Linked DNA regions of Cricetulus griseus. The protein of the gene in region 3 interacts with the protein of the main gene of each other region in a biochemical or structural test. Links are inferred from orthologs where the notes say so. Each region holds a gene or a part of one and is shown on either strand. Other genes may lie near its edges.

Region 1 (3,500 bases), on a different chromosome or scaffold from region 3:
TGCTTTGAGTTAATGGACTCAGTCCTGAAGCTACCTTTTCCCATTCCTCTTGGTGGATTTGTCCCAGCCTCTCTCTAGTCCAAATGATGCCTTAATGAAAACAAAAATAGACTCCTTGGGCCAGGTGCTTCTGTCACACTTAATGTCCTGCTATCATAGGGTTAAATGAACCCCTTTTCATGTCGTATGAGAGAGAGGGAAAAAAAAAAGCAAACATAGGATCAAGAGTTTAGTTTCCCAGTGGGAATCTCAGCTCTTCTACCCCATAATGGAATTTAAGATGGATTCTTTCCCCCCTCCATCTTGATTTCCTCAAGGGTTGGTAGATTTATCCAAAGCATCATCTTTTCAGTCTGTAATTCTACAGTCCATTAAAATGCATTGACTTCAGCTTGACTTCTGTTCAGTCATCTATAATTTAAGTGTTCTGGGCAATTTGGTTATTTGGAAGTTGGGTCATGTGTATTTGGGTACTTATACAAGTAATATTTGCAAAGCCTGCCAGGAAAGCAGAAGTAGCCACAGTGAAATTAAAGACATGAATAGAAACATTTGAGACTATAGAATAGCTTTTGTTGAGATTTTTGTCTTCTGAAGTTTTCTAGTTTTTCGGTGTCAGTCTTGCAGAGTTAATAACATGTAGTTAAAATGATCCCCCTTTTAATATGGTTGCAGTACTGTTTCACACTTACTATTTAAATAGGACCTCCAGATCACTTCTAAATTGATGGGTAGTTTAAAAGAACAAAAGCATATGCATATTTACATGTATAAAGCCAAGATAATTTGTGGTGTAAAAACCTAGAGGAACATGGGTGGGAGACATGCCTCTGCCATTAAGAAAATATGATGCCTTTACAGAGGATCTGATTCCCAGCACCATATCAGGTGGCCCTAGACTCCAGAGGATCTGAAACTGTCTCCTAGACTCTGTGGGTACCTTTACTCATGTACACATGTCCTTCCTGTTCACACCACCCGCATATACACATGATTAAAGATATGGGTGAAAAAATAGAGGAAAATGGGAATTTGTAAGGTGTGTTTGAAGGATGTTTATAGGCATCATAGAGTTGCATTACTAACAACAAATTTAGTTTAGATTATATTGAACTGTTAGTTTTTATTCCATAAATGATACTGATGTTGAGCACAATGCATTATGTTAATGTGTTCAGCAGAATTCAAGTCTTGATTTCCTAACATTTCTCCTACAAGGACCCAAGGTTCCTGAAGCTAATTCGAGGACTGGAAGAGTAGAGCATCTTTTCATGCCAGAAAGGAAGAATGGACTCTAAAATGTTGCCAGCATGTTAGAAGCTGTTTTGTAGGCCCTCCCACCGGGCTAATATGGGATGATTCAAGCAGTAGTAAATTGTAAAGCATTGAAAAGATTTAGTAATTTAGGAGACCATATCAGTAACATAACATATAAACACATAGGGCAAGACGGGGCTCAAGACAGCTGTTAAATGTGGAGAAAGAACTGGAGTTGAAAAATCATCATTATGCCAATATCATAGTAAATTTCAGAGGACTCCAAATAAATATTAAATCTAGAGGAGAAATTTGAATGAAGAGTAGGCTATTTGCATGGTTGTAATCTGACCAAAGAATACATATCGGTTGCAGGGAAAGATAGTAACTAAGCAGTAGGAAATTTGGAAGGCGTCTTCTATGGCTGAAGTTTAACATCACCAGTGAGGAAAAGGACACCATATCATGTACTTCAAACTGTCATGACCCCCCCAAATAACATACCACTTATTTACTTCTCTGGTTAGGAGTGTATTGTTTGAGTCTCATTATGAGAGAACCACAGACAAACTCAAATGGTCTTGCATATTTATTTGTCAAATAAAAGAAAAATTAAGTAATGATAGGACCCATGTTAAAGGAAAGTTAAGGCATAGAGCTTAAATTGGTGTGGTGAGGTGCACATGGGGGATTATGCCTGCAATTAATAGCACTGCAAATAGGCAGGCAAGAGTATTGGAAGTTCTAGGCCAGCCTGGGGGTTACATAATAAAATCCCATCACAGAATAGATTAAAAGTATAAGACATAAGATTTTCTTGATCCCAATACCTTGTACCTGGGGGAGAATATTAAGTGTATTAGAGTTAGTTTACAGTTTTATCGTACAGATTCTAGATTACTGTGGATGACATAGTTACTGAAATTGTAACTGTTGATTTGTAAATTATTTTTTGGAAGAGCACACGTTAAGTGTTTACATGGAAAGGATAAATGTGTGTGTGTGTGTGTGTGTGTGTAGGGGTAGCAGGAGAAGGAGGGAGAAAAGGAGGCAAATAGCAAAAGTTATGAGGTGTTGGGTAAAGTTATATAGTAGTTGTGTTTTCATTGTAATTTCTGTTTATTTGGAATATTTCAAAATTTATGCATGTGTACTTGAGCACACTTATCTCATTGCTTTAGATTGCTTATTTAATTTAATTCTAATTTTGTATTCATCTTTAGGTGTTAACCTAAATTTTTATAGACATGTATACAGGTATTTATATAGGATGTATATTGACTTTTTTTTATTTCTTTTAAATAGTGCTGGCCCTAAAGGAGATAACATTTATGAATGGAGGTCAACTATACTTGGTCCACCAGGTTCTGTATATGAAGGTGGTGTTTTTTTTCTGGATATCACATTTTCTTCAGATTATCCATTTAAACCACCAAAGGTAAGAACCTAGATATACATTGATTAATTACCCTTCTCCCAAACCCAGGTATTCTAGAATTTACATGTATATTAATGTAATAATTTGCTTTCATTGTTGTTCATGAATTAATATGGAAACTCAGTTATTTTGAAACCAAAATGTTACAGACTTCTGGCTTTTTAAAAATAATTTTATATTCAAAATAGTTAATAGTAAATAAAACTACACATTGATTAAAACATAAATAGAAACTTATGTAAAACTCCCTCTATGAAATAAACCTTATTGATAGCTTTCAGAAATAGGTTAATAATAAGGATTTTGTCTTTATAGATAAGCAAAAACTAGAAAACTGACAAAAGGAAAAACTAATACTTAACACTCTCATTTTTTGCCTTCTGTGAGTGTAGTGTAAAATAGAGTGACAGGCTCACTTTTCCCTTCTTCTTAATTCATTTAACCTGAGTGTTCAGCTTGATAACAAACAGAAAACATGGTACTTACTTGAAGGGCTTTTTCCTCTGACTTCTCATTATAAAGTACTCAAGTAAAAAACCTGGAGCTTAGCCTTTGTAGCTGAGTTTATTAAAGAGGAATCCAGTGTGCCAGGGAGGTTTTCAGGACCATGGCCTCCAACTAGTAAAGTGCTCTGCACCTTTTTTTTCAATTGCATAAATTTTTTTTTTGATGTAATGCATTCCAGTTATGGTTTCCCCTCCCCCAACTCCTCCCAGATCTGTCCTCCTTCCCCATCAACCCAAATCGACCTTTTCTTTCTCTTTCTCCTTGGGACACAAACAGGCACCTAAAACAGTAAAATAAA
Region 2 (4,090 bases), on a different chromosome or scaffold from region 3:
ACACATTTCTTCAAAAATGCATATGCTTTGGGTAGTGGAGGAACAGCTCTTTTTGACAGGAGGCTCAAAATGATGACCTGTGGAAGTCTCACCAGTGATTTTACATGTGTTTGGAGACAACTCCTATTAGGTACAGATTTCCTTAGAGACTGAGTGAATAAAGTGCACAATTACTTTATGAATCTTACAGACCCAGCTGGAGTTTCAGATTAAAGGCTAGAAGGGGTTTACCCGTATAGTGAGAATGCCTGCTTGCCTGGTTACTATATATGCCTTAAGCTTTATATCATGTGTTACAGTAACTGAAGACTCGGTTGCCTTGGGAGGCAATGACAATTTGAATGAGATAATTTGAAGTGGACCATGGAAATCTGAGTGCGGTTGTCTGGGCATTACACAAGATCTTGTGTCTGTGGTACCTTGTACTTGGACTATAGGGATTTGTTTTTACCTTCAGGGCAAACGACAAACAGGCAAGAAACTAAGCCCTAATTTAATGGTGGAATGTTTTCAAAAATAAAATTTGGTACAGTGCCACGAAAGGAACAATTTAGTGACATTACTGTGTGATTATTCTAAAATTATTGTTTGAATAGCATCGTACTGGAGCGAAAGCAGGGTGCTTTCTAGAGCTTTCTTTCAATTTCTAAAACTCAGACTTTATACCTAATTTAAGAATTCCAAGTCTTGTCAAAACCGGCAGTTTAAGGTTTATTCCCAGTGATCTTACAACTCCCAAGCCCGGTTACAGATCCCAGTTACCTGTCATGAACTCCAATCGCGTACATAAAAACCCCCACATCCTTTTCTATAACAAGTGAAGGGGTTGTATCTAATGTTGTAAATTGCTCACGCCTGGTATCCTGAACAGAAACCGAGTCTGGGATTTTTCTCACAGGCGTGACCTCTGCTCCTAGCAAGTTAAATTGCCAGAGGGAGAAACAAGTGTCAGCCCAAAGGAAAATCCTGTTGGGGGATTTTTTTCTTTCTTTCTCTACACCGGCCACTTTTGAGGAGGAGTCAAAGTCCTCGCCCGGAGAGTACCATCTTTCCCCCCCGACACCGGCCCCCTCACCCCCAGCCCTTTCCTAAAGCCCTCCTGGGAAGAACTTCCCCCGATCACCCCAGGCTCCACCTGAACGCAGTCGTCTCCCCCATCCCGCCGGGCTCCCTCGGCTCCGCCGGGCTCCGGGTCCCCAGGCCACGCCGGGGTCGCTCGGGGATCCCGGGCCGCGGCCCCCAGGTGCGGCGGGGGAGGGGCGCGGGGCGGGGCGGAGAGGAGGAGTGGCGCGGAGCGTGTGCGGCCGGGGAAGCCATTGCCTGGTTAATAGTTGCTGTTGCTGCACTTCCGCTTCTCTCCCAGCGAGAGCGAGACACGAGTGGCCAGGCCCAGCCGCAGCCGCAGCAGCAGCCGCCGCGGCGGCACGGAGCAGCCAGACACAAAGAGAGGTGCGGGGGGCCCCGGGGCGGGCGGCGAGCGGGCGGGCCGCGGGCCTGGGGCCGCGGGGCCGGGGGCGGGCGGCACCGCCGGGCCGCGGGCAGCAGGGCCGGGCCGGGGGCGCCGAGGGCCGGGCGGCGGGGATGGGGCGGCGGGCCGGGGCGATGGGGACCGCGCGAACTGTCAGCGCGGCCCGGTCCCCGCGGGGACCCGCCCGCCCGGGGCGCATTGTGCGCGCCGGCCTGCGAGCGCAGCCCCGCGTGGCCGGGCCTGGCCAGGCGCCGTGTCCCGCGGCCCACGCGGCCCACGCTCGGCTTCCTCACCCACTCTCCCTGCCCGGCTCGTCCCGACCTCGCCAAACTCGAGGGGGACGCCGGGAGGCCTCGGGGACGGCGGCGGCGGCTCCCGGCCCTACCCGGGCCGCCCCCGCGCGATCGCGGCCCCCGCGGATCTTCGGCCGGTGCGGCGGTGGGCCCCGATCCTCTGCAGGGCGGCGGGGGCGGCCCGGCCCGCGCCCTCCTGACAGCGGAGTTCCCTCTTTGCAGCGCCTGCATGGTCTGTGTTTCTGTTTTGTTTCCTACCCCTGCAGGGGCCGTTCGCGGGGTGGGGTGGGGGGTTCGCTATGTCGGATGACGATTCGAGGGCCAGCACCAGCTCCTCTTCATCTTCATCCTCCAACCAGCAGACCGAGAAAGAAGCCAGCACCCCCAAGAAGAAGGAGAGTAAAGTCAGCATGAGCAAAAACTCGAAGCTCCTCTCCACCAGCGCCAAGAGGTACCCCACTCCTTTCTCCAGGAGTCCTAGCTTCCCAGTTGCCTCGTGCTGCATGTCAGGGAGGGTGGCTTCAACGACGTTCTCATATGTTCTCTGGCAGGAAAATGGGGCATGGAGTCCCACCTGTTTTCTCTCCTGCTTACTGTTTCTGGTTTTGTTAATGCCCTTGCCCATAAGCAGCAGTTGTGGCTGGCCTCGTCTATTTCTTGATGAAGTTTCGAGAATCCTCATTACTTTTATGAGTGACTCTGAATGTGATTTCAGAGTCCTCGTCCTGGTAATCACGAATCTGTGACTTCTCAGAGGCTGTCACCCTCCTTTATAATTAAGGGTACCTTCCGGGAACTCTGTCAATGAATTCTGACCATCTCTCTTCCTCACCTGTTGCAGGGATGACGTTTTCTGAATAGAGTTTTCTCCATAACTTGCTTAAGGAATAATCAACTCCCATTAGTGCTTAAGAAACTGAGGTGATGTTTTCTGGTGGAATTTGAAGAGCCTTTTCCGGTTTGGGGCAGATGAGTCAGTAAATAACAGTAAAATGATTATTTCAGGTATTTTGGGAGATAGTTTTGTTGGCTTGTTTAAGAAGAGATAGTTTTGTTTGTTTGTTTAAGAACTTCATTTTGATAGTTTTCAAGGAGGCCTTGTTGTTTTATTAGACAGTGTCTTATGCTCTAGCCCAGGCTGGCCTTCAGGAGTGAGCCACTCACTACACCGAGGGTTAGTCTCTTATGTAAAAAGACGGGTGAATACTTTGTCTCTGTCAACCTTTAATGACATTCCCTGATCCCTGTAGTCTAGCAGAGACCTGGGAAGCCCCTGACATCCTTTCAAAAATCCTTCTCTTTTCATTGAGATAGTTAACCATAGCAAGGAATGGAAATTGGACTAGAATTTAAAATGAAATGGGACATTTAAGTGACTTTGGCTCTCTCTGCTGAGTAGTGAGCCTGGAACTCAGATTGACAGTTTGTTCTGTCATTTTCCCTGACCTGAAATTCTTGGTATACTGTTTTAGTGACCTAACTGGCCTGATGGTAGTGACTTCAGCCCATTCTCCATAGTTAATGATCAGGTCTTGAGAGGGTGTCGAGCTGCCTTGGTAAGGTTGTTCTCATTTTCAAAGGGTTGGTGTGATAGTATCTCAGGCCCTCCTGAGTCTTAACCTGCCCTCTTTGATTAAGCCCATGTGAACTGTCTCTGAGCCTGGGTTCTCCCCTCCTTGCTGAAGATGGCGCTTCTCTCTCCCAGTGTTCTTAATCTCTCCATCCTCACTCTGCTTTGGACCCACCCCCTTAGGTCAGTGCAGCTTTTGTGTTGTGCTAGAAGGCCCTCAGTGTGTTTGTAACTATAGTGGGAGGAAAATGGACAGGTATAAAAAAGTAGAGTATAAACAATTGGATTTCTCTGCGGATATAGTTTGTCTGTTTATGCTATGGAAGTTAAAAACTTAGTTCTGGGCATGGTGGTACAGGCCTTTTATCAGCTCAGTCCTTGGAAATAGAAGCAGGCAGATAGATCTCTTGTGAGTTCAGAGTCAGCCTGTTCTACAAAGAGAGGTCCAGGAGGTCTGAATATAGATAGGGAGACTGTCTCCAAAACAAAATCAACTTTATTTGGTACCTCAAATAGTAGCGAACTGGCCTAGCATGCTTGAAGCCCTGGGTTCAGTCCCCAGACCTGTAATCCCAAGGCTCTGCCAGGCAGGAGGATCAGTTCACAGTCCTTGGCTACAGTGCATTCTTGAGTTGGAGACAGGCTCTCCTGTAGTCAGGGCCTCGTGTAGTCCAGGCTCAGTGATCTGAATAACAATGGATGTTCCCTTTCCAGGGTTTTTGGTGAGCAGGAAGATACCAGCTATAATGTACCAAGCAT
Region 3 (3,500 bases):
AATGGAGGCCCCTGTGGATGACTGGGGAAGAATTTATGTCCTCAGGTCCCTGTATTTTGAAACCACAGATAGCTTTTTTAGCCTCATCAGGAGGGCAGTTCCTATTCTCTGAAGTTTTGGAGAAAATGGGCTTAAAGGGAATGACATCTCTGTGCCAAGTCGATACCAGTAAATGGAAAATAGGAGTTGCCTTTGTCTACCTCCCAACTTATAAAGTCTCTTTCTACCCAAGTTGGATCTAAGCATTCCCAGCAATTTCACTGGCAGACTTTGGCCCTAGGCAGCCTACTACCTCCCCTCTTCTCCCTTTCTTTACCTCTCCTCTCTGAGCACTCTGGGATGGACTCAAAGCCAATACTGACACTACTTACCTAAGACAATCACACAAACTTCTACCAGCTGCATGACACTGGGCAAGTGACTTCCATGGCAAGTGAGTGGAGCTCTCCAAGCTTTCACTTTCTATTTATGGTAGAAGCATAGGGTTATGTAGTTCACAGGCGTTGTTAGAATCACACAAAGCCCTTTACTCTTGTGAGTGATGGGGTGGGTAGTAGGAAGCTCTTGTCATTCATTGTGTTCATATTAGAATGTGACAGTACCAAGATGAATCTTAGGTATGTTGGTGGTATTGAAGGTCAGATAAGGCTTCAGAATGAGAACAGTTGTGTGATTAGAAGACAGGGTAGAAACAAAGCAAATGATTCTGGGTTTGTATTCTATTTACGAGCATCTTAATCTACCACCATTAGACTTCACTTCCAACAGCAGCCTATATTGTTGGGTTTTTTTCTCCCCTCTGGGATCTAGTGTGTCACTTGATCATGTGAGCTCAGGTTTTCTCATTTGTTCAACACGGACCTTAAACCTTGCCTTGCAGGGACAGGACAATTGAGAGCGTGAAACTTGCTAACTCCGAGATGTGGCTTGGACTTGAGTCATTAGGTCTGGTCTGATCCCAATTCCACCTCTCAGAGTAGGAACTTTGGTCAAGTCACTAAACATCCCTGAATGAAGTTTTCCCTTACATGTGAGCTGGGGTAAATAGTAGTAGTGCAATTCCCACAGGGTTGCCCTGAGGACAGACAGCAACAAGGCTCATGGCTCATAGAGTGCTTAGTGTGGCCTCTGACACAGAGAGGACTCCTAGTAAATCTTCATTTATCATTACTGCTAACCTGTTAAAGGACTTCACATGCAGAAGAGACTTTAGAAGTGTGCATTTTCTGTCTCCCTGCAGCCTGTTTTATTGGCCTGGGTTGTTTTCTACTGCTAAAACTGGGAGATGGGCAGGGCTTTAAACTCTGCCCTGACCCCCACCCCTACCCCCGGGGCCTGAGATCTGTATCTTTTCTCAACTCCGCAACACCATGGAGCCATTGTACAAAGTGAGGGAACAGCTCCACATGATACCTATAAGGGGTCAAGATTTAAAAACCTGAGTATTTCCTAATCCACATCTGTTCTCTGATCTTCCCAGAATGGTCTTCCTTTTATTCCACAGAATTGGAGTCTTTCCCTTATGCTGTGCTAGGGAGGGACAAAATGACTTAGCAGTCAGCTGTGTGGATTTGTAAGTCAAATTGCCTGGTTCAAATCTTGGGCCTGTCAGCAGTGTGAACCTGGGCAAGCCACTTCATCTCTCTGTGCCAGTTTCTTTTCTAAAGTAGATTTACTAATACTTAAGTCTTCTTTCACTGTTACCAATAATAAGCAGGAAAATAATTCAAGGCTAATCAGGGATAGATAGTGAGACCTTGCATTTAAAACAAACAAAAAATACCAGAAAAAAAAAGTCTACATGTATCCTAGGCTCACCTCTGGCTTGCCTTTTTTCCTCTAGATGTCCAGCTCGCCGCTGTCCAAGAAACGTCGCGTGTCCGGGCCTGATCCAAAGCCGGGTTCTAACTGCTCCCCTGCCCAGTCTGTGCTGTCCCAAGTGCCCTCAGTACCAACCAACGTGAGTGTCTTCCCCATGGAGACTGGCTTGCATGATGATGGCATGGAGAGTCATTTATATCACTTTCCATTTGCCCACACCCCACTCATGCATGTTGTCTTGAACTTGTTCTTGCTCTCCATCCCCAGGGAATGGCGAAGAACGGCAGTGAAGCAGACATAGACGAGGGCCTTTACTCCCGGCAGCTGTAAGTCGGGCTGAAGTCTGCCTGAAGTGGGAAGGGGCACTGAAATAATTGGATCAGGTGGGCTGGACTGTGACCTGGAGTCTTTTCTAACTTGACAGGTATGTGTTGGGCCATGAAGCAATGAAAAGACTCCAGACATCCAGCGTCCTTGTCTCAGGCTTGCGGGGCTTAGGTGTGGAAATCGCTAAGAACATCATCCTTGGTGGGGTCAAGGCTGTTACCCTACATGACCAAGGCACTACCCAGTGGGCTGATCTCTCCTCTCAGGTACCTCTTCCCAACATTCTTTGCTCTGCATCAGCCTCTGTGTGCCACATCCCTCTCACTTATTATCCTTTGTCATCCCCCTCTTACAGTTTTACCTTCGAGAGGAGGACATTGGTAAAAATCGGGCTGAGGTATCTCAGCCCCGACTTGCTGAACTCAACAGCTATGTGCCTGTCACTGCCTACACTGGCCCTCTTGTTGAAGACTTCCTTAGTGGCTTCCAGGTACTACTTGGCCACTGCTCAACCTCCTGCCTGATTTTGTTGGAACTCATTTTTTTTGGTACTGTTCACTATTTAATGAGCTGCCTTGGGTATCAGGCATCATACTGGAGAGCAGAGAGGATGCAGGCAAGATGGGAACCTGGGCATGGCTTTTAGGGGAAAGTTGTGTATACAGCATAGTAGTTATGAACAGACTGGAGGCAAAGTGTCCTGTTTTGTCTAGCTCTTCTAGTATAACTTTTAGGCAGGTCACATAGATCTTGGGCTTTACTCTTCCCATTTTTAGAATACAAATGGAAGCAGTACTGACTTCATGGGGTTCCTATGAGGTTAAGCATGAAGAATAGCAACTTGGACACAGGGAAGGTGGCATAGGCATTTACTAGTTTAAAAAGTCTAGGCTGTGAGAACTGAAAGTCTGTCCCATGAGGCTAAGGTCCCCAAGGGCCAAGGTACTACAGCAACAACAATCTGACACAGTTGTGGGAGCTCATCCTGGTGGGCAGAGATGGATGCTCTTGGAGAAGATGGAGAGCAGTTTTAAAAATTATGGTGGAGTGGGCAGCATCTTGAGAACCACTAACAGATAGGTGTGGTATGAATGAGCTCAAACTTTGGCTGGAGACAGTTTTGCCCTGTCTGTGTCTCACAGGGCATGGCAGGTTTGTAGGCAGTTAGCAAAAAGTGAGTCAGCTGTTCTGCAGTCTGTGCCCAGTACACTTTACCTTTCCCAACATGCTCCAGGCCTTCGCTTTCTCCTTGCTGTATTTTCCTCTCACTGAATCTGATCCTCAAGTCTTTATGAGAGAGGCCTGGGAGGAACAGGAGGACCTGGACAACTCTGTCTTCAGAACTGCCTGAA
Region 4 (3,500 bases), on a different chromosome or scaffold from region 3:
GCCTGGTTGAGTGGCAGAATGACAGAGGCCTCCCTGTCATGTGTGTTTTTTCCTGGTTCTGAGCAATTGTAAATTCAGGGTACCAGGTCCTTAGAACACCAAGATTTATTTATAAATTTAAGAACTTTTAGAAATTTGTGGTCATAATAAGTAACATTTAAATCTTACTGTTGCTTAGTCAAAAATTTACTAATATTTACTTATTAGTAAAATAAGGTTTTTATTTTACTTTATATGTATAAGTGTTGTATGTACATACATATATGTGTACCATATGTGTGCCTGGTGCAAAAGACCAAAAGAGAGCATTGAATCCCCTAGAACCAGAATTGCTAGCAGTTGTATGTCACCATACCAGTCAGTGCTGGGAACCAAACCCAAGGCCCCTGCAAGAACAAAGGTTATCTTAACCAGAGTCACATTCTTCCCTAGAATATTTTTATGTCATAACTTTACAAATTAAAGACAAGTATAATGGTGACCTTACTATCATAGGAAAAGATTGTATTAATAGTACATTCAAATATAAAATTTAATAAGGAATAACTTTGTGAAGTATAACAATACAGTAATAATAAATTATAACAAATACAGTTTTTTAGGTTCTTTTAAACAATCTTTTTTATATTACATACCAATCCCAGTTCCCCCTCCCTCCCCTCCTCCTACCCTCCCCACATTCTTCCTAACCCCCATCTACTCCTCAGAGTGTGTAAGGCCTCCCATGAGGAGTAAACAAAGTCCTTCAAACCATGTTGAAGCAGGACCAAGACCTTCCCCACCCCTGTATCTAGGTTGAGCAAGATAACCCTCTATAGGGAATGGGCTCAAAAAAAAAAAAAAAAAAAAAAAAAAAAAAAAAAACAGTTCATGCACTAGGGATAAATCCTGGTCCCACTGCCAGAGGCCCCATATTGTCCCCCAAGCCCCCCAACTGACACCCACATTCAGATGGCCTGGTTCAGTCTTATGCTGGTTCCCCAGCTGTCAGTCCAGAGTCAGTGAGCTCACACTAGCTCAGGTCAACTGTTTCTGTGGGTTTCCCCATTATGGTCTTGATCTCTTTGCTTATATTGTGGCTCATCCCCAGTGCTCAGTTGTGCATCTCTGCATCTGTTTCCAACATATACAGTTTTAACATGAAATTATATAAAAGAGGCATGTGATACGTTTATATACCCTCATTCGTGTTTTAAAACTGTATTAAAGAACACTTATCTTCATTGTATTATTCCCAAGCGTTCTGGGTTTTGTTGTTGTTGTTGTTTGTTTGTTTGTTTTTTGTTTTTTTGGGGTTTTTTTGGATCTTCTAAATGTAAAAAGTAAAGCAACTAGAATCCACCAAAAGTTTTTGAAACATTTCAGAAGTCGGGCCCATTTCCTGCTCATAAACATCCTGTGGTTACATCAAGTTAAACTCCTCAGCTACACCAGAAGCAGTGTGCAGATTCTACTGAGTGCTCTGTTTTCTGTCACAAATTATCTTTATTTTTAATCTATTGATTATTTTCATATATCTATTAAAAACTTCAGCCTGGACCTCAGCCATTTCCTCTTATGGCAACTTTGCATTTTCTCCCAGGTCACCTTCCGAACGAGAATCTACCACTGTAATATCAACAGCCAAGGGGTGATCTGTCTGGACATCCTCAAGGACAACTGGAGTCCAGCCCTGACCATCTCTAAAGTCCTCCTGTCCATCTGCTCACTCCTTACAGACTGCAACCCTGGTGAGTGGCCCTGGATCTGGTACCAGATTGAGAAGCACAAGGTTGCCTTTGAACCTGTTAATGCTGCTAGTGTTCCCTACCCCAGCTGCTCATTATCATTGATTTTAACTTTCCATGCTCTATAACTGTGTTCTTTTTAGATTGGTTCTTTCCATTCACTTCTTTCTGAACCTATTATTTACCAAAAGAAATTTAAAACAAAATATGATAAAAATTAATGAAAACTCATTTTAAATGAGAAAAAGTGTATTTTAGAATGCATTAAATTCTCCTACCACATAACAATAAAAATTCAAATTGAATAGCTTAATCTTTAATTAGATACCTAGTAGACATGTTAATTTGAGAAATGTGGGCTATTAAAATCTCATAACAGCCAAGGCAGCACCACACAGATGTGACCTCCAGTGCAGTAGCAGCCGTGCGCCCTGATAAGCTGTTAGCAAAAAAACTGAATGGATCTAAATCAGGAAGCAGGGCTTGCCAGGAAACTAAGGTGGCTATCGGCATGTCTTGGCCCTCTGCTGAGCTTTGCACTCAGGTTCTCAACTCTTGTTTCTTCCTCTGCATGTGATCATGTGCCTTTGACAACTTTGCTTTAGCTACAGGGCAAGCCAGCTATGAATTGTGCTCATATATGGATTTACTCTGGAAAATACAGAAATCCTAGAGTAGTTTTTGTTCATGCTCTCCATGAAACTTGCATTTTTCAGTGTTTTATTAATTGTCATGAAATCCCATCTCCTGGGTAAGGCCCTTGTGAAATGTTTTTAGTTCACTCACCAGGTAGATAGTAAAGTCAGATCAGATGGCACCATGAGAGTTGACTGTCACTGCAGGCCCATCCTCTCCTGGCTGCACCCATTTCTGCCTGCCACATGTATGACCTTACTTAGAGGTGATGTTGCAAGGAGGCTTTCTTTGTTGTTACTTTTGTTTTGATGATTTTGGCCTTTTACCACAAATCAGCAGTGAACACCTGCTTTCAGAACAGGTCCCCTGAACTCATCCACCTCTGTCTAAAGAAATGGCTATCAATATGTCGTGCTGTTGGAGAGAGGCTGGAACTTTGGTTAATCAGTTGGGTTTTGTTTGCTTGTTTCTTTGATTGGTGTTGCTGTGTCTCTCAAAAGTTTACATTGTCTATAAAACTAAAACTCACCCCTGACCAAAACAAAAGCTCATATTCTGAACCAGGGATGCTGGCCTGCACCAGGTTTGCTGGTGTACTTCTGTAACCGCAGCACTCACTTGGGAGGATGAAGCAGAAGGACTGAGAGTTCAAGGGCAGCCTGAGCTACGTGGTGAGATCCTGTCTGACCCATCTCATCTCCACTAAAGAAATAATGCATTTTTTTAAATACTGGCATTCAGTAGGAATATCAGGGCAGAAAATAATAGTGGTCCTTAGAAGATGAACCACTTTTGTGATAGGAGTCTAAAAAGGGGATTAAGAGCACTGACAGCTCTTCCAAGGACCCTGGTTTTGTTCCCATCACTCAAGCGTCAGCTCACAACCATCTGTAACTCCTATTCCAGGGGATCCAACACCTCTTTCTGGCCTCCTCAGGCACCTGGCATGTAAACAGCACACAGATGTACAAGCAAGAAAAACACCCAAACACATAAAAAATAATTTTAAAAGAGACTAGAACAGTTTGTGATATATGCTAATCATCACATTCTGGTGCGTCTAAGAAGACCACCTGAGTGACACTCCACTGTACAAATGTTGACATTCCTGGGTTCTTTCAGTAGAGTTCAGTTTGA
Region 5 (4,137 bases), on a different chromosome or scaffold from region 3:
CTGAGCTACATTCCCAGCCCAAAGCCTTTACTTTAAATTAGTGTATGCTACAGAAGTATCTCCATATTATCAATTCCAAATCAAGAGTGTCACACTGTGTTCCCCATTAGTAAACAGAAGTAGTTACTTTCTTTCCTAGTTTTAGTTGTTTGTTTTTTTTTTTTTAAACACAAATTCCAATAGAGGGAGATTAACTACAATCCATTTACCTTAATTATTGGTTGTTCTAGTAACGATACTTTTTGGAAATTAAACTGTATCCTTGAGCCAGGCATGGTGGTACAGGCCTTTAATCCTAGCACTCAGAAGGTAAAAGCAGGTAGATCTCTATGAATTCAAGGCCAGCCTGGTCTACAGAGAGTTTTCCAGGACAGCCAGGGCTACAAAGAGAAACCCTGTCTCAACCAAAAAAAAAAAAAAAAAAAAAAAAAAAGCAAAACAAACTGTATCCTTTAAAATTAACCAAGAGTTTGCTTTCAAAGTATTTTCTAGGAAAGTTATCAGATGAATTCCACTTTGTGCAATACTTCCAATATCTACAAATAAAATGTTTATATTTGACAGTACATGACATACCACAACATGGACACAATAATACCCTTTCCAATCTGTCACTAATAACTTGAGCCTTTACTTAGTAATTTTAAGCACCTGCATCTAAAAAAAAGTATAGTGTATACTGACCACAAAAGACAAAGCAAACAGTTGGTAAGGATACCACTCTTACATAATATTCTAAAAATGTCCTTTTACTAAGTATTCAGCAACTGTCACATGCATGAATGTTGAGCATACCCTATCAATCCTATTTTCAACAAAGTTGACCCAGTTTAAGGCCTGAAATTGAGGCTTTTGAACGGTAGAAAGTAAGAGTTAAGTAATTGGGTAGTCCTAAAAATACACATCACATCTACATGACTAAGATATTCGTTTAAAACTTGTGCCAAGATAACCCCTCCCTTCAAAACAAACTAAAATTGACTCACTGGCCTATTTTTCTTAATTCTGGAAATAAAAATAAATAAATAAATGGATTCCTAAACACTCATTTCCTCTGTCTCTAACCCCCTACTCCATCTTCACTCGGGGTTTCCACCCTCCAAAAAAACGCTTTAGTCAAATCAAGACAAAAAACAAACAAACAAACAAACACACACACACAAAACCTCAGTGTCTCCAAGTACTGAATTCAGGAATAATGCAGGAAAAACAAAGGAAACAATGTCTATATAGTGGCTGCCTAAGGAGCCACTCCACCGTGAGAAACCCTGTCACCTCGGATGCTTCTCATTTGTGGGACGACCCCATTTGCAGAAGCCAACCTCCTATGCAAAAGCTTTCAATTTTCTCTCCCTAAAAGTGGGAAACTATCAATCTCTCTGACTGACACATTCCACCCTTTGTGGATGTTTGTACATGGTGTGTGTGTGGGGGGGGGGGTGCTAATAAACTTGGTAGGAAAGGACAAAGGGCATTTTAAAAGCAGGGGAGACTATGAAGTAAATGGAGAACGAGGGCAGAAATAGGGCTAAATTAAAGTCCCCTCAAGCAGATGAGCAAAGCAACGCCAGCATACCACCCTCCCTTTTATGCCCCCCTCCACCCTGTCCTCTTCCTTATTAGCATCTACTGGAATCAAAAGTTAGACTACTCCTACCCAAGACAAACAAATCCTTCAAATGTCAGAGCACTAGCAACATCGGGAATGACAGGCTAATGTTCTTCCCCCACACCCCCCCCCAAAAAGAGAAAAGTCCAATCCAATAAGTGCAGGTCACCCTGCCCTCTGGGGCAGTTCCAGCCTGCGCAGAGAATGCTCGGATGGATCGAGAAAGAGAAGATAGACCATCTCTATTTCCACACACCCTCAGCTGGAGAAACAAAACAAAGGCAGCCCTCCTTCCCGGTAGCCACTACCCCAGCCACAGAGGCTTTCCTATTTCCCGGTGCAGTCTGGCCTCCCGCCCCCGCCCCATGACAAAGAAAAGGCACTTGGTGAGCAAGGCCTTCCTGCCTCCACGGATGGGGGAGGGGGCTGCGAGGTGAGGAGCCCCCTCGGCTCCCCCGCGCTCACGCTCCCGGCCCGCGGCGGACAGCGGAGCCCCGGGGAGCCGGATCCGGGAAGGGGTGGGGGGTACCTTGAAGTAGCCGCCTTCGTAGAGGGTGTTAGGGGGTCCGAAGATGGCCACCTCCCAGTTGTAGAGGTCGGACTCATCCACCAGGGTGATCCGGAAGCCCTCCACTGGTTCCTCCTGCAGGGATTTCAGCTCAAGCATCAAGGCTTTTTGCGAGCTGGTCATCTGCTGCTGGGCCATCGCGGCGGCGGCCGTGCGGGGCCGCGGCCCCAGTCCTCGCGCACCCGCCGGGCCGGACCAGGCCCCTCCCCTCCGCTCGCCCTCGGGCCGGGCCGGGCCCCTGTCTTCACACGCCTGGCGGGGCCGGATCAGGCCCCAGACGGCCCGCGGGCCCGCCCGGGGTCCTCCTCACTCTCGACGCGGACCGGCCCGGGCCCTCCTCACACTCGGGCCGGGCGGGGGCGGGCCTGAGGGAGTTGGGGGAATCCGCTCCCGGCCCCGGGCCTCCCCCCCCCGGAGGGGGCCTCTACTTGGGGGGGGGGAGTGGAGGTGGAAGCGAAGGAAGGCGGCGGAGGGCAGGCGATGGTGAAGACAGGGGGGCCGGGCTGGGCCGGGAGCGCCGTGCTCGCTTGCCCTCTCGTTCTCCGCGGGGGCCGGAGGGGCGCACGAGGGAGGGCGCGCCGTGCGCTGGGGTCTCGGGACGGTGGTGGTGGTGGTGCGGTGGTGGCGGGCGCGGCGGCGGCGCGGCGGCGGCGGCTGCAACGGGGGGAGGGGCGGAGGAGAGGAGCGAGAGCGCCTCGCGCCGCGGGAGCGACAGAGCAGAGAAGGAGGGAGGGAGGGAGGGAGAGAGAGACGGAGGGAGGGAGGGAGAGAGGGAGGGAGAGGGAGGGGCGCGCGCCGGGAGGGGGGCGGCTCGCAGCGGCAGCGGCCCGGTGCGCGTGCGCGCGCCCCTCCTTCCCCCGCCCTCCTCGCTCGGCTTTGCTCGCCTCCTGCTCCCGCCTGCCAGCTTCTCCCCCGCCAGGCCCCACGGTGGCGGCGCTTTGTGACGCCCGCGCGTGTCCCCCACCCTTAAAGAGCCAAGCGGCGGTGGGGATCAAGGGCGGGCCGCCGAGGATCGCTTTGGGCCCTAAGTGACGGTTGTGCGGCTGGACGCCGCGGTTCCAGAGGCGTGCCCCGGAAGGAACCTCAGGTCCTAAGGCTCTCGGCGCTCTCGCCCTGTGTGTGTCCCTGGCCTCCGCAGTCTTCCTGCGTGGAGCCTGGTCCCCTGAGGGCTCCTCTCAGGGACACCTGGTCTGTGGTCCTCACACTTAGTAGATGCCAGAATAAGCTGCGTCTCCAGCTGATGAAGCCCCTAGGCAAGTCGCCCACCTTAGGGAAGGCAGTCTCCCAAAGGAGAACTAGAGAAAAGCAGATAAGCTAGCTCCCGCTCCCTTTTACCGAGAGAGGTTGTGTGGAAAGAGTAGAAAGCTAATGCTGAACCTGATTCCAGGTCCTCCGAGAGATTGGCAAGAGTGCTGCTTATAGCTTACAGTACCCGATTGCAAAATATTGAGGTTGGCCTGGTATGAGCTTGGAAAGGAAGAGGGGGGACAAAAGCAGAAGGGTCAGTGTGAGGCCAACCTGGTCAAGGAACTGATAGTTCCTTGCCAGTCAGGGCTACATTGTGAGAACCTATGTCTAAAAGCAAAAGGCTGTGGTTGAACTTTTACCTCCTACAGATCCGTTCTGCTTGATCTACCTGAACATGGCATGACTGAAGAGATAGGAAGACATAGTCTTCAGTCCCTGGGGTTAGGGTACTCAAGGATTGTTTGCTACAGAAACCAGGATACTGTTGGGCGAGGTGACTCACGCCTTTGATAGGCAGAGGCCGGTTGATTGAGTTCAAGGCCAGCCTAGTCTACATAGCAAGTTCCAAGACAGCCAGAGCTACATAGAGAAACCCTGTCTCAAAAAAACAGTAACCAGAATACTGAGACAGGTTCCAAACATACCATTTTGGGTTCAGAAAGCTCCATTCCAACTCCTTGTTTGATCAGTTTCTGTAAACTGATTAGTTACA
Region 6 (4,288 bases), about 96 Mb from region 3:
ATGGGAAAGAATGCGGATGGCCCCTGGGAGGTGGGATTGCCTGGTATAGTGTCTCTCCACCCAGTAGCACAAGAGCCCTGCAGCTGTTCTCTTGGGAGCAAATTCTGATTAGCCCAGCTCTAATGGTGTCACTGCCCTACTCAACCACCTTCCAAGGATTCCATTAGCTTGGCATTCAAAACTCTCCGGGATTTAACTCAAACCGGCCTTTCTCACAATTTCCATCATTCTCAAATGTGTACCTTATCTGCCTACTGAGTGGTTTTTGGATTGATCTTTAAAAATGCTTCTTTCAAACTGTTATTGCTTTTGCAGGTCCCTGTCCTACCTGAGAATCTTCCTTGCAACTCGCAGCTTTCCACGTGCACCCTGCCGTTACCTTTCCTTCCGACCTTCTGTCCTTCCAAGGCCCTGCAGCTGGATAATCTCATACCTTGGACTCTTCTAAACTAGCTGCTTGGATTGTTGAATTGCCAAGGGGAAATGTGGTTCCAGAGACAAATTGTGAGTTCCCAGAGCAATTGTAAAACGTCCATTTTATCTGCCTGAAGCTCTCGTTTCAACCACCACCCCAACAGCATTTCATTCAGCCCCAGGCTTAAATGTTGGGATTGATTTGTGCACCCTCATCCCAAAGAAAAGGGACCCTGAGTCCATTTTCATAGTCAAGACCCATTTAGTTCTTTATTTTCACTTTGCCCCGCTTGTAACCATTACTTCAGTGTCCTGTGTCTGCAGGATTATGACCCTAATATTCATGCCTGTTGAGGACAAGGTTTCCTCTGCCAACTCTTTCCTCCACTCTTCTCCTTCACCTTCTCTCTTGTTTCCTCCAACCTAGACAGTAGTTGGCACTTTAATAAATTATTCCTTCTCAAAACAAAAGAAGCCAAGGGTGAAGGCATATTCCTGTCATCACAGACATTGGCAGGCGGAGGTGACTTCAAGGGTCAGCCTCTGGGATTCACAGTGAGTTTGAATCAACCAGTGTTACATTGTATACTACTGTAGGAGACCAAAAAAAAAGGGGGGGGGCGGGAGCTTATCATAAAATAAGAAATAAAGACTGGCATTTGGGAGATGAAAGCAGGAGTTCAAGGTCATCATCAACTACACTGTGAGTTCGAGGTCAGCCTGACCTACAGGGGACCCGGTCTCAAAAAAGAAAAAGAAAAGTAAGTAAATACAAAAGCAAAACTTCACAGGGTTCGCCTTCAAATCAGCAAGTGGAAGCAGAGTGGCCCCCTTGTTAAGTTCCCGTGGGTTGAAGACTTCCATTTACTCCCAGGCTAGCCTTCCTCTGAGAACTTGGCCGCCACCTCCACAACAGCCTTGGCGGGGGGGGGGGGGGGGCTTTCAAACTGGGTTTGAGTGACATAACAACTTTCGTCCCCCCCCCCAGCCTCGCGTCTTGGTACGGCCTACCCGGCGTAAGCCGTTTCACCCCCCCCTTCTCCTCAGGTTGGTTCAGCCCCCGTCTATTCAGGGGTGGTGCTTAGCCGGCGCCAGACCGACCCTCGGCTTCGCAGAGGCAGTGCCGTTCCTCTCGGCGCTCCCTCCGCTGTTTCAGCTTCCTCCGTTTCCTCTGGGACCAGAGACCCTGGTATATGTACCACCTCTGACCCCGCTAGAGACATGTCGACCCCGGCCCGGCGGCGCCTCATGAGGGACTTCAAGAGGTAAAGTCGTCCGTTGGGGACTGGCGGTTCGGGGGTTGCCTGCTGGGGCACAGGGCGGATCCCGAAACGGAGCGGCTCGGGGTGTGGTGATGGGGGGCCGGCGGCGGGTCGCGGCACTGAGGGGACCCGGTGTGCGTTTCTGAAGGTTACAAGAAGACCCTCCAGCCGGAGTGAGCGGGGCTCCGTCGGAGAACAACATAATGGTGTGGAACGCGGTCATTTTTGGGTGAGTCTCTCTGTTCCAACGGCTGCCCGGGGATGAAGAACCCGGGCCGGCCCCTCGACGAGCCCAGCGGGGAACGGGGAGGATATTTGGGGTTGCTTGGGCCTAGGCGCCTCCCCGGAGCCTCTGCCTCGATTAGCTCCCTTCCCGCTGCCGGGGGAACCATTCTGGGGTTCTGGGGGGCGGGGTGGGGAGCGGTGGAGGCCGACACGGGCGGCCTGCTTTGCCTCCCCGAGCCCCCAGACAGGGAGCGGAGTGACTTTCGCGGCCCCGACAGCGGTGATGGAAGGGAGGCAGGGATGGGAGCCCTTGACAGAGCCACCTCCTCAGAAGCACAGGCAAAAAGGGGACCCTCTCCGCGGGCGCTAACGGGGTTTTTTTGATTTTGTTTCTGTGTTGCAGGCCTGAAGGAACCCCATTTGAGGATGGTAAGAGTTTTTATACCAGTCTTCTAGGAAGCTGTTCTGTCATCAGCAAGCGCCCCCTCTGCTTAACGAACCTGCCTTGCCTTTTTCCTATTGAAAGCTTGAGTGAAATCTAGTGTGTGGTGGGTTCTGGGGAGGCTTATGCTTAACCAGAACTGCACTTTTTCTGTCGCTTTCCTCCATTGAAAACATTCTAGGGAAAAGTCACTTTGTAAAAGAACTGCCACAGCACTGGCATTAAGGATTTGGAGGTTTGAGCAAGGGGCCTGCTAAATTCAGCCCCCATGGAAGTAATTCAGTACGAAACCAGTCCACCAGAGACCATCTGGTCTGGTATTCATTCCATCCCAAGGGCAAGAATTTGTTCATCAGTGCTTAGTGTGCGCTTTGTTGAGTGCTGACTGGATGCAAGATTCTCTGACACACAATTACCTGGCGTCTACAGCACGACATAGAAGGCACAGCAGCCTCACTGTCTTAAGGATGCTCTTAAATGCCTAATATATATTACATATAGTATGTTATATGTAATATATACTACAACAGTATAATGTTGTTCCTGGATTTGAAATTCATTTACAGAGTGTGCTTTTATTAGGATCTCTGATTAGCAATTTTAAAGTGGTTTTAGAACTGAGATTTGCCTTACAGTTGTACCCCTTTGGCCAGTGTCCAGCATACTTGAATGCCTACTTTGTATCAAGAGGTGTATAACTTTTAAACAATTTACGTTTAACTTCTAAAAACCCACATTAACTGCTCTCCAAAAACTTTATATTTTCAATGCCGTCATGGTGTCCTATGCACTTGTAAGGCAGAGGAGGAGGTAGAGGCAGGTTAATTCAAGAATGCTCTAGCCTACTAGTTCCAGGCCAGCCCAGGGATACATAGCAGAAACCTTGTCTCAAAAGATAAAGCAACAAAGAAAAAAAACCCTTGTATTTTGACATAGTTACAGATGCCTGTGGAGTTGAAATACTATAACAAGTGCTTGTGAACTCTTCACTTACCCACTTCCGTGCACCCTCCCATATTTGGTCATCTCTTGAATGACTGACTGTACTACAATATCACAGTCAGAATTGATAGCGATAGTTTTTTTTTTTGGGGGGGGGCGGTTGTTTTGTTTTTCAAGACAGGGTTTCTCTTTGTAGCTTTGTAGACCAGGCTGGCCATGAACTCACAGAGATCCTCCTGCCTCTGCCTCCCAAGTGCTGGGATTAGAGGTGTGTGCTACCACTGCCCAGCTAGTTATACAGTTTTATAGGCAGACCATTGTGTGTGTGTGTGTGTGTGTGTTCAGTTCACCCAGTTAGTGATACAGTTTTATAGGCAGACCATTGTGTGTTTAGTTTTTTGGGTCTTTTAAAGTTTAATTCATTTAAAGGATGATTAAAACTATTTGAGTTCATGGGATTTTTTAGTGTTTGGGCTACTAAAAAATAACCTTTCTGTAATTTTTTCTCAATGACTTTCTTTAGTAACATATGCATGTGCACACACACATAGACAAAGACACCTTTTAGTTTAAAGGTGACAACCAAAATATTTCATCATTTTTCCAAGACGGTTTCTCTGTGTCCTGGAACTGTCCTGGAACTTGATCAGGCTGGCCTTGAACTCAGAGATCTGTCTGCCTCTGCCTCCTGAGTGCTGGTATTAAAGGAGTGTGCCACCATTGCCTGGCCCATTACTGCTAGTAACAAAATGCTGTGAAGTAAGTCAAGATAAGCCCATTCTATAATTTGTCCCAAACACTAAGACACCCTTAGGAAACCATGGATAGTCAACAAGTTACTTTTAGCTTTCTCTCTACCTCACTGACTAGGTAATTGCTGCTGCTGTTTCATGCTGCAATAAAAAGAAAGAAATGACATAAGAGAGAGTGATGTTAGGACATACTACTTTGGTAAATTTAATATAAGAGCTAGCCAGGCTTTTCTCTACTAGATTGGTACTAT
Region 7 (4,040 bases), on a different chromosome or scaffold from region 3:
GTGGGGGGGAAGAGACGTTGAAAAGCATTCACACATTCAAGGCAGTGCAGTCCTCTGGGAGAATGAACAGATACAAACTAGTGGTTCTTGAGAATCCAGGGATACCTTTACCCACTAGAGCACATTTGCCAATATCTAGAAATATTTTCCATTGTCATAAATGGGGTGGGTACTACGACAGTTCAGCAGGTAAGGTTCACAGATGCTGATGAAACATCCTACAAAGAATTATCTGGTCTCAAGGGTCAACAGAGACAAAAGTTGAGAAATGCTTGTGTAAACACAGGGCCCTTCCCTGCTGTAAACTTTCGGTACTCCCTCTCCCAAATTCATAAACTTCCCACACTTCCTTCTATCTCTCAGCTTCTCTTCCACATCTAGTCACACCAGCAGATTGCTTCCTGTGCCCTCTACTTAGAGCCATGACCATTCATTTGCCTATTCTACCTAGCAACAAGGTAGAATTGCTTGGACAAGAATAAAGGCTTAGGTAGAACACAGATCTTGAGCGGACATGTTCTGGGCTGGAGATGCAGCTCAATTGGTAGTGTTTGCTTGGCATTCATGGAGCCCTGGGTTCAAGTCCCAGCACTGCATAAAACTTGATAAAGTGGTGCTCATCTCCGATCCCAGGACTTAAGAGATGGAGGCAGAAGAATCAAGAAACCAGAGGTTGGTCTGGTGAGATAGCTCAGCAGTTAGGTGCACTTGTTTTCCTAACTCTGGATTCAATTCCTAGCACCCACATAGTGGCTAACAACTATCTCTGAAACAATCAGTTACAAGGGATCTTGCCTCTGGTAGCACCAGGCATGCAGATGGTTCACAGATAATACATGCAGGCAGAATACCCACATACATAAAATAAAAATAATAATTAAAAAAATTAAAGGTCATTGTCAGCTACATATCAAGTTTGAGGCCAACCCGGACATAAAACCCTATCTCAAAAACAAAAACAAACAAAAAATCGAAGGGGAATTTTCTCTTTTACCACTGGGAATACTCGGATTTTTTGTGCTTTGGTGAATTCTGTCATGACTTTCCCATAATTGCTGAAATCCAAGCTAGGACACACAGCTCCTCCCAAAGTCTGCTAGTAAGTCACCTGATTTAGAGGAAATGAAAGTGAAGACACAAAGGCGGTTAAAAGCCCTGTGAGTTAGAGCCTCGTCAGTCTAGGCTCCAATTCCAGACCCATCACTCCTGCTGAATATCTGAATAGCACTGGTCACTCATGCTACTCTCTCTGATATCTCGGTGTCCTCCTCTGTAAAATGGGAAGTCATAATTATCTCACAGAGTTGCTATAAAATTAGATTTAAAAAATGGCCTGGCACTCAGGATTCTGGAGCAATACAAGCAAGTTCATCTCTTAGTGTTGAGGTAGCAAGGACCCTCTGCCCCATTGTGCTCCAGCCTCCAAATTTTAGTTCTGGGATGGGCCTGCTCTGGCCTTCTCCACCTTAAAGAATTTTCCTTTATGGAGCTGAGGACAGCAAACATCCCTTCTCACCGCAAGAAACAGTTTTTCCCTAAATTCTGCAGACTAGAGGGGACCTTTGGGGAGATCCAAAGCTTGGGGGTGCCAGCTCCCGCTCACCGGCGTTTCTCCTCTACGGTCTCCAATCGTGGCTCCAGCCCTCTAGACATTCCTAAGGAAACTGCCACCTTTCCATTTTTCCAGGTAGTATTCAAACAGTGAGTGTCCCAGATAGAAATGAACACTCAAAGGTGATAAGATTTTTGTTCCTAGCCGGGTGATGATGGCACACACCTTTAATCCCAGCACTCGAGAGGCAGAGGCAGGCGGATCTCTGAGAGTTCGAGACCAGCCTGGTCTACAGGAGCTAGTTCCAGGACAACCTCCAAACCACAGAGAAACCCTGTGTCGACAAACAAACAAAAGCAAACAAACAAAAAAGATTTTTGTTCCTTTTCTTCTCCCTGCCACCTGGCACTGGACTAGTAGAAAACAGGCATTTAGCATCTGTAGCGGACTGCATAAAAACCTACTCAGGGCATATTGATATTTTTTATTCAGGAACTATTCTGTATACTTTCATTCCAGGGACCGCCCATCCCCACCCCACTGCCCATCCACATCTCTAGCTTCTGAAAGTATCAAATTATGGGTCCACCCAGTAGGTGGCGCAACAGAACTCTGCCGGTGCCTGAGATACGCCCCACTAATAAACTTTCAGCGGAATTGAAACTGAAACCAGTTTGGGGAAGCTAATTCATTCTCATACTCACCCCACATACACACCCCCTAATACAACTCGGAAAGCTGGTGACAACTCTGTCTTGTATGTCCCCCATCCTGGCCCACAAACTCCAGCCCTACACACACACACACACACACACACACTCTCATACACACACGGAGGGAGGTAGAGGCAGAGGGAGGGAGGGAGGGAGGGAGGGAGGGAGAGGGAGAGGGAGAGGGAGAGGGAGAGGGAGAGAGAGAGAGAGAGAGAGAGAGAGAGAGAGAGAGAGAGAGAGAGAGAGAGAGAGAGAGAGAGAGAGAGACTCCGCCCACTCCTTCAGTGGGAGAGTGGGAGAGGGTGAGGATGCCTGGGTTTCAGCCCACCCTAGTACCCCTGATAAACAAAAGCACTCAAAGGTCAGCCGGGGAAAACCGAGGGAGTAGAGCTTGGGGTCGGGGATCACTAGAAAGGCGCTTACCTTCGCCACCCGTTTGCTGGCTGTCATCTTGGGTGGGAGTGTGGGGCAGCAGCAGACTCCCTCAGGTCACCGCTCTCGGAACCACAGCTCCGGAGCCCCACCCACATCTGCTCCACCCACAGGGACTCTAAGACGTGCTCCCCATCCCAACGGTGGATACCTGAAGGGCGCGGTCAAGTGCCCAGATCGGTGGTCTTGAATCCCAGAAACTCAGCTCTTTGTAGATAGGAGACTAAGTCCGCGGAGCACACTGCTCCCCTTGAGGGACATCACGCAGGAGCCTTGATGGAGTACATCCCCAGCCTTCATTAGCTTCCTCCATGCGGAGAACACACTCGCCAGAGATACTACCTTTGCAAACTTAGTTCTACTGCAGGTCTCTCTGACCTCCGGCCTAAGCCTTACCTCCAGAAAGATTCTCAGAGCTCTGGGCCAGGTCACTTTGCCTTTGTGGGCCCAGTGCCTCATCCAAAAAACGAGTGGGGACAGTGTAAACTGTATGCCCCCCAAGTATCGCTCCCTTAGTTGAGTGGGATCCTAGGTGCAGTGCAGCAATTGGGCCGAGATGCTACGATAGATGCTTCTTTTAGGTTGCTTGGCGCTGAGCATCACATGTGGATGCTGTTGGACCCATTCTCTTTTAGTTTTGGATGCTCTGTCGACCTAGAACACCTAGAAAGTGCCTACTGTAAGGCGATTTGGGAAACCGATGGGTAGGAGAAGCCTTAAGATAGAGTTCAGGAGCCTATTGTATTTTACTGCCAGCCGATTACAAACTATGGACCTACGGAGTGTCCTTATGAACAGTCAAAAGAGTCTCCACCCCTCTATGCAGGGGCAGAGATGCCTTTCCCTAGCCCAAGTTGAGACCACCATGTAATTAATAGCAGCCGCCCCCGCCCCCAATATTGAACAGCATCTAGGAGAAATTCTGCTGCTGTGATGAAACTAGGGAGGAGTCCACCTTCCCCACCTAATCCCTTGCAGTCCAGAAATTAGTATATTTTGAACCCCAAGTTTTGACCCAGTATGCCGCATGATTTTTTTTTTCTCTGTCAGGGATCCATATGTCTGCTTTGCTTCGTTTGCCAATTCTGTTTATTCAACCCAATAACTTTAACCAGATACCCCCTAAGTGATGGCAATGAACAGTACACCATCAGCAATTCCCTAAATATAGGTAGGGGATGAGGGAGCAGGGCACTTGAACCCATTTCTAGTTAGTCTTAAACAAGCACTTAATACCGAGTGTCAAGCACCATTTTAGGGAACACACCAGGCTGAGAAAGTGTGGTGTCTGTCGTCAGAGAAACTCTCAGGAAATTGAAACACAGAGAATTCAGCCTCTGAAT

What was found.
Region 1: of the proteins of Uba1 (region 3) and Ube2e3, one has a biochemical effect on the other in vitro, tested with the Homo sapiens proteins (3 studies listed by BioGRID, with this or other methods). The link is inferred for Cricetulus griseus from reciprocal best matches to the Homo sapiens genes UBA1 and UBE2E3.
Region 2: of the proteins of Uba1 (region 3) and ubiquitin-conjugating enzyme E2 E1, one has a biochemical effect on the other in vitro, tested with the Homo sapiens proteins (9 studies listed by BioGRID, with this or other methods). The link is inferred for Cricetulus griseus from reciprocal best matches to the Homo sapiens genes UBA1 and UBE2E1.
Region 4: of the proteins of Uba1 (region 3) and Ube2e2, one has a biochemical effect on the other in vitro, tested with the Homo sapiens proteins (4 studies listed by BioGRID, with this or other methods). The link is inferred for Cricetulus griseus from reciprocal best matches to the Homo sapiens genes UBA1 and UBE2E2.
Region 5: of the proteins of Uba1 (region 3) and Ube2r2, one has a biochemical effect on the other in vitro, tested with the Homo sapiens proteins (5 studies listed by BioGRID, with this or other methods). The link is inferred for Cricetulus griseus from reciprocal best matches to the Homo sapiens genes UBA1 and UBE2R2.
Region 6: of the proteins of Uba1 (region 3) and Ube2a, one has a biochemical effect on the other in vitro, tested with the Homo sapiens proteins (6 studies listed by BioGRID, with this or other methods). The link is inferred for Cricetulus griseus from reciprocal best matches to the Homo sapiens genes UBA1 and UBE2A.
Region 7: of the proteins of Uba1 (region 3) and Ube2l6, one has a biochemical effect on the other in vitro, tested with the Homo sapiens proteins (2 studies listed by BioGRID). The link is inferred for Cricetulus griseus from reciprocal best matches to the Homo sapiens genes UBA1 and UBE2L6.

Annotation. Positions count from the first base shown.
Region 1 is NC_048599.1:96,236,147-96,239,646, reverse strand, and holds part of Ube2e3 (ubiquitin-conjugating enzyme E2 E3), read left to right. Parts: intron 1-2,562; coding exon 2,563-2,695; intron 2,696-3,500. UniProt on the Homo sapiens protein: Accepts ubiquitin from the E1 complex and catalyzes its covalent attachment to other proteins. In vitro catalyzes 'Lys-11'- and 'Lys-48'-, as well as 'Lys-63'-linked polyubiquitination.
Region 2 is NW_023276807.1:175,441,574-175,445,663, reverse strand, and holds the start of ubiquitin-conjugating enzyme E2 E1, read left to right. Parts: upstream 1-1,290; 5' UTR 1,291-1,449; intron 1,450-1,603; exon of another isoform or gene 1,604-1,990; coding exon of another isoform or gene 1,991-1,993; intron 1,994-2,027; 5' UTR 2,028-2,060; coding exon 2,061-2,212; intron 2,213-4,090. UniProt on the Homo sapiens protein: Accepts ubiquitin from the E1 complex and catalyzes its covalent attachment to other proteins. Catalyzes the covalent attachment of ISG15 to other proteins. Mediates the selective degradation of short-lived and abnormal proteins.
Region 3 is NC_048604.1:125,477,351-125,480,850, forward strand, and holds part of Uba1 (ubiquitin-like modifier-activating enzyme 1), read left to right. Parts: intron 1-1,843; coding exon 1,844-1,960; intron 1,961-2,088; coding exon 2,089-2,147; intron 2,148-2,245; coding exon 2,246-2,414; intron 2,415-2,503; coding exon 2,504-2,638; intron 2,639-3,500. UniProt on the Homo sapiens protein: Catalyzes the first step in ubiquitin conjugation to mark cellular proteins for degradation through the ubiquitin-proteasome system.
Region 4 is NW_023276807.1:175,704,053-175,707,552, reverse strand, and holds part of Ube2e2 (ubiquitin-conjugating enzyme E2 E2), read left to right. Parts: intron 1-1,582; coding exon 1,583-1,730; intron 1,731-3,500.
Region 5 is NC_048595.1:101,456,931-101,461,067, forward strand, and holds the start of Ube2r2 (ubiquitin-conjugating enzyme E2 R2), read right to left. Parts: upstream 2,801-4,137; 5' UTR 2,316-2,800; coding exon 2,139-2,315; intron 1,996-2,138; exon of another isoform or gene 1,752-1,995; intron 1-1,751. UniProt on the Homo sapiens protein: E2 ubiquitin-conjugating enzyme that accepts ubiquitin from an E1 ubiquitin-activating protein, and catalyzes its covalent attachment to other proteins by an E3 ubiquitin-protein ligase complex.
Region 6 is NC_048604.1:29,641,392-29,645,679, reverse strand, and holds the start of Ube2a (ubiquitin-conjugating enzyme E2 A), read left to right. Parts: upstream 1-1,488; 5' UTR 1,489-1,635; coding exon 1,636-1,679; intron 1,680-1,824; coding exon 1,825-1,905; intron 1,906-2,304; coding exon 2,305-2,330; intron 2,331-4,288. UniProt on the Homo sapiens protein: E2 ubiquitin-conjugating enzyme that accepts ubiquitin from the ubiquitin-activating enzyme E1 and transfers it to a E3 ubiquitin-protein ligase. In vitro catalyzes 'Lys-11', as well as 'Lys-48'-linked polyubiquitination.
Region 7 is NC_048599.1:90,735,785-90,739,824, forward strand, and holds the start of Ube2l6 (ubiquitin/ISG15-conjugating enzyme E2 L6), read right to left. Parts: upstream 2,801-4,040; 5' UTR 2,716-2,800; coding exon 2,689-2,715; intron 1-2,688. UniProt on the Homo sapiens protein: Catalyzes the covalent attachment of ubiquitin or ISG15 to other proteins. Functions in the E6/E6-AP-induced ubiquitination of p53/TP53. Promotes ubiquitination and subsequent proteasomal degradation of FLT3.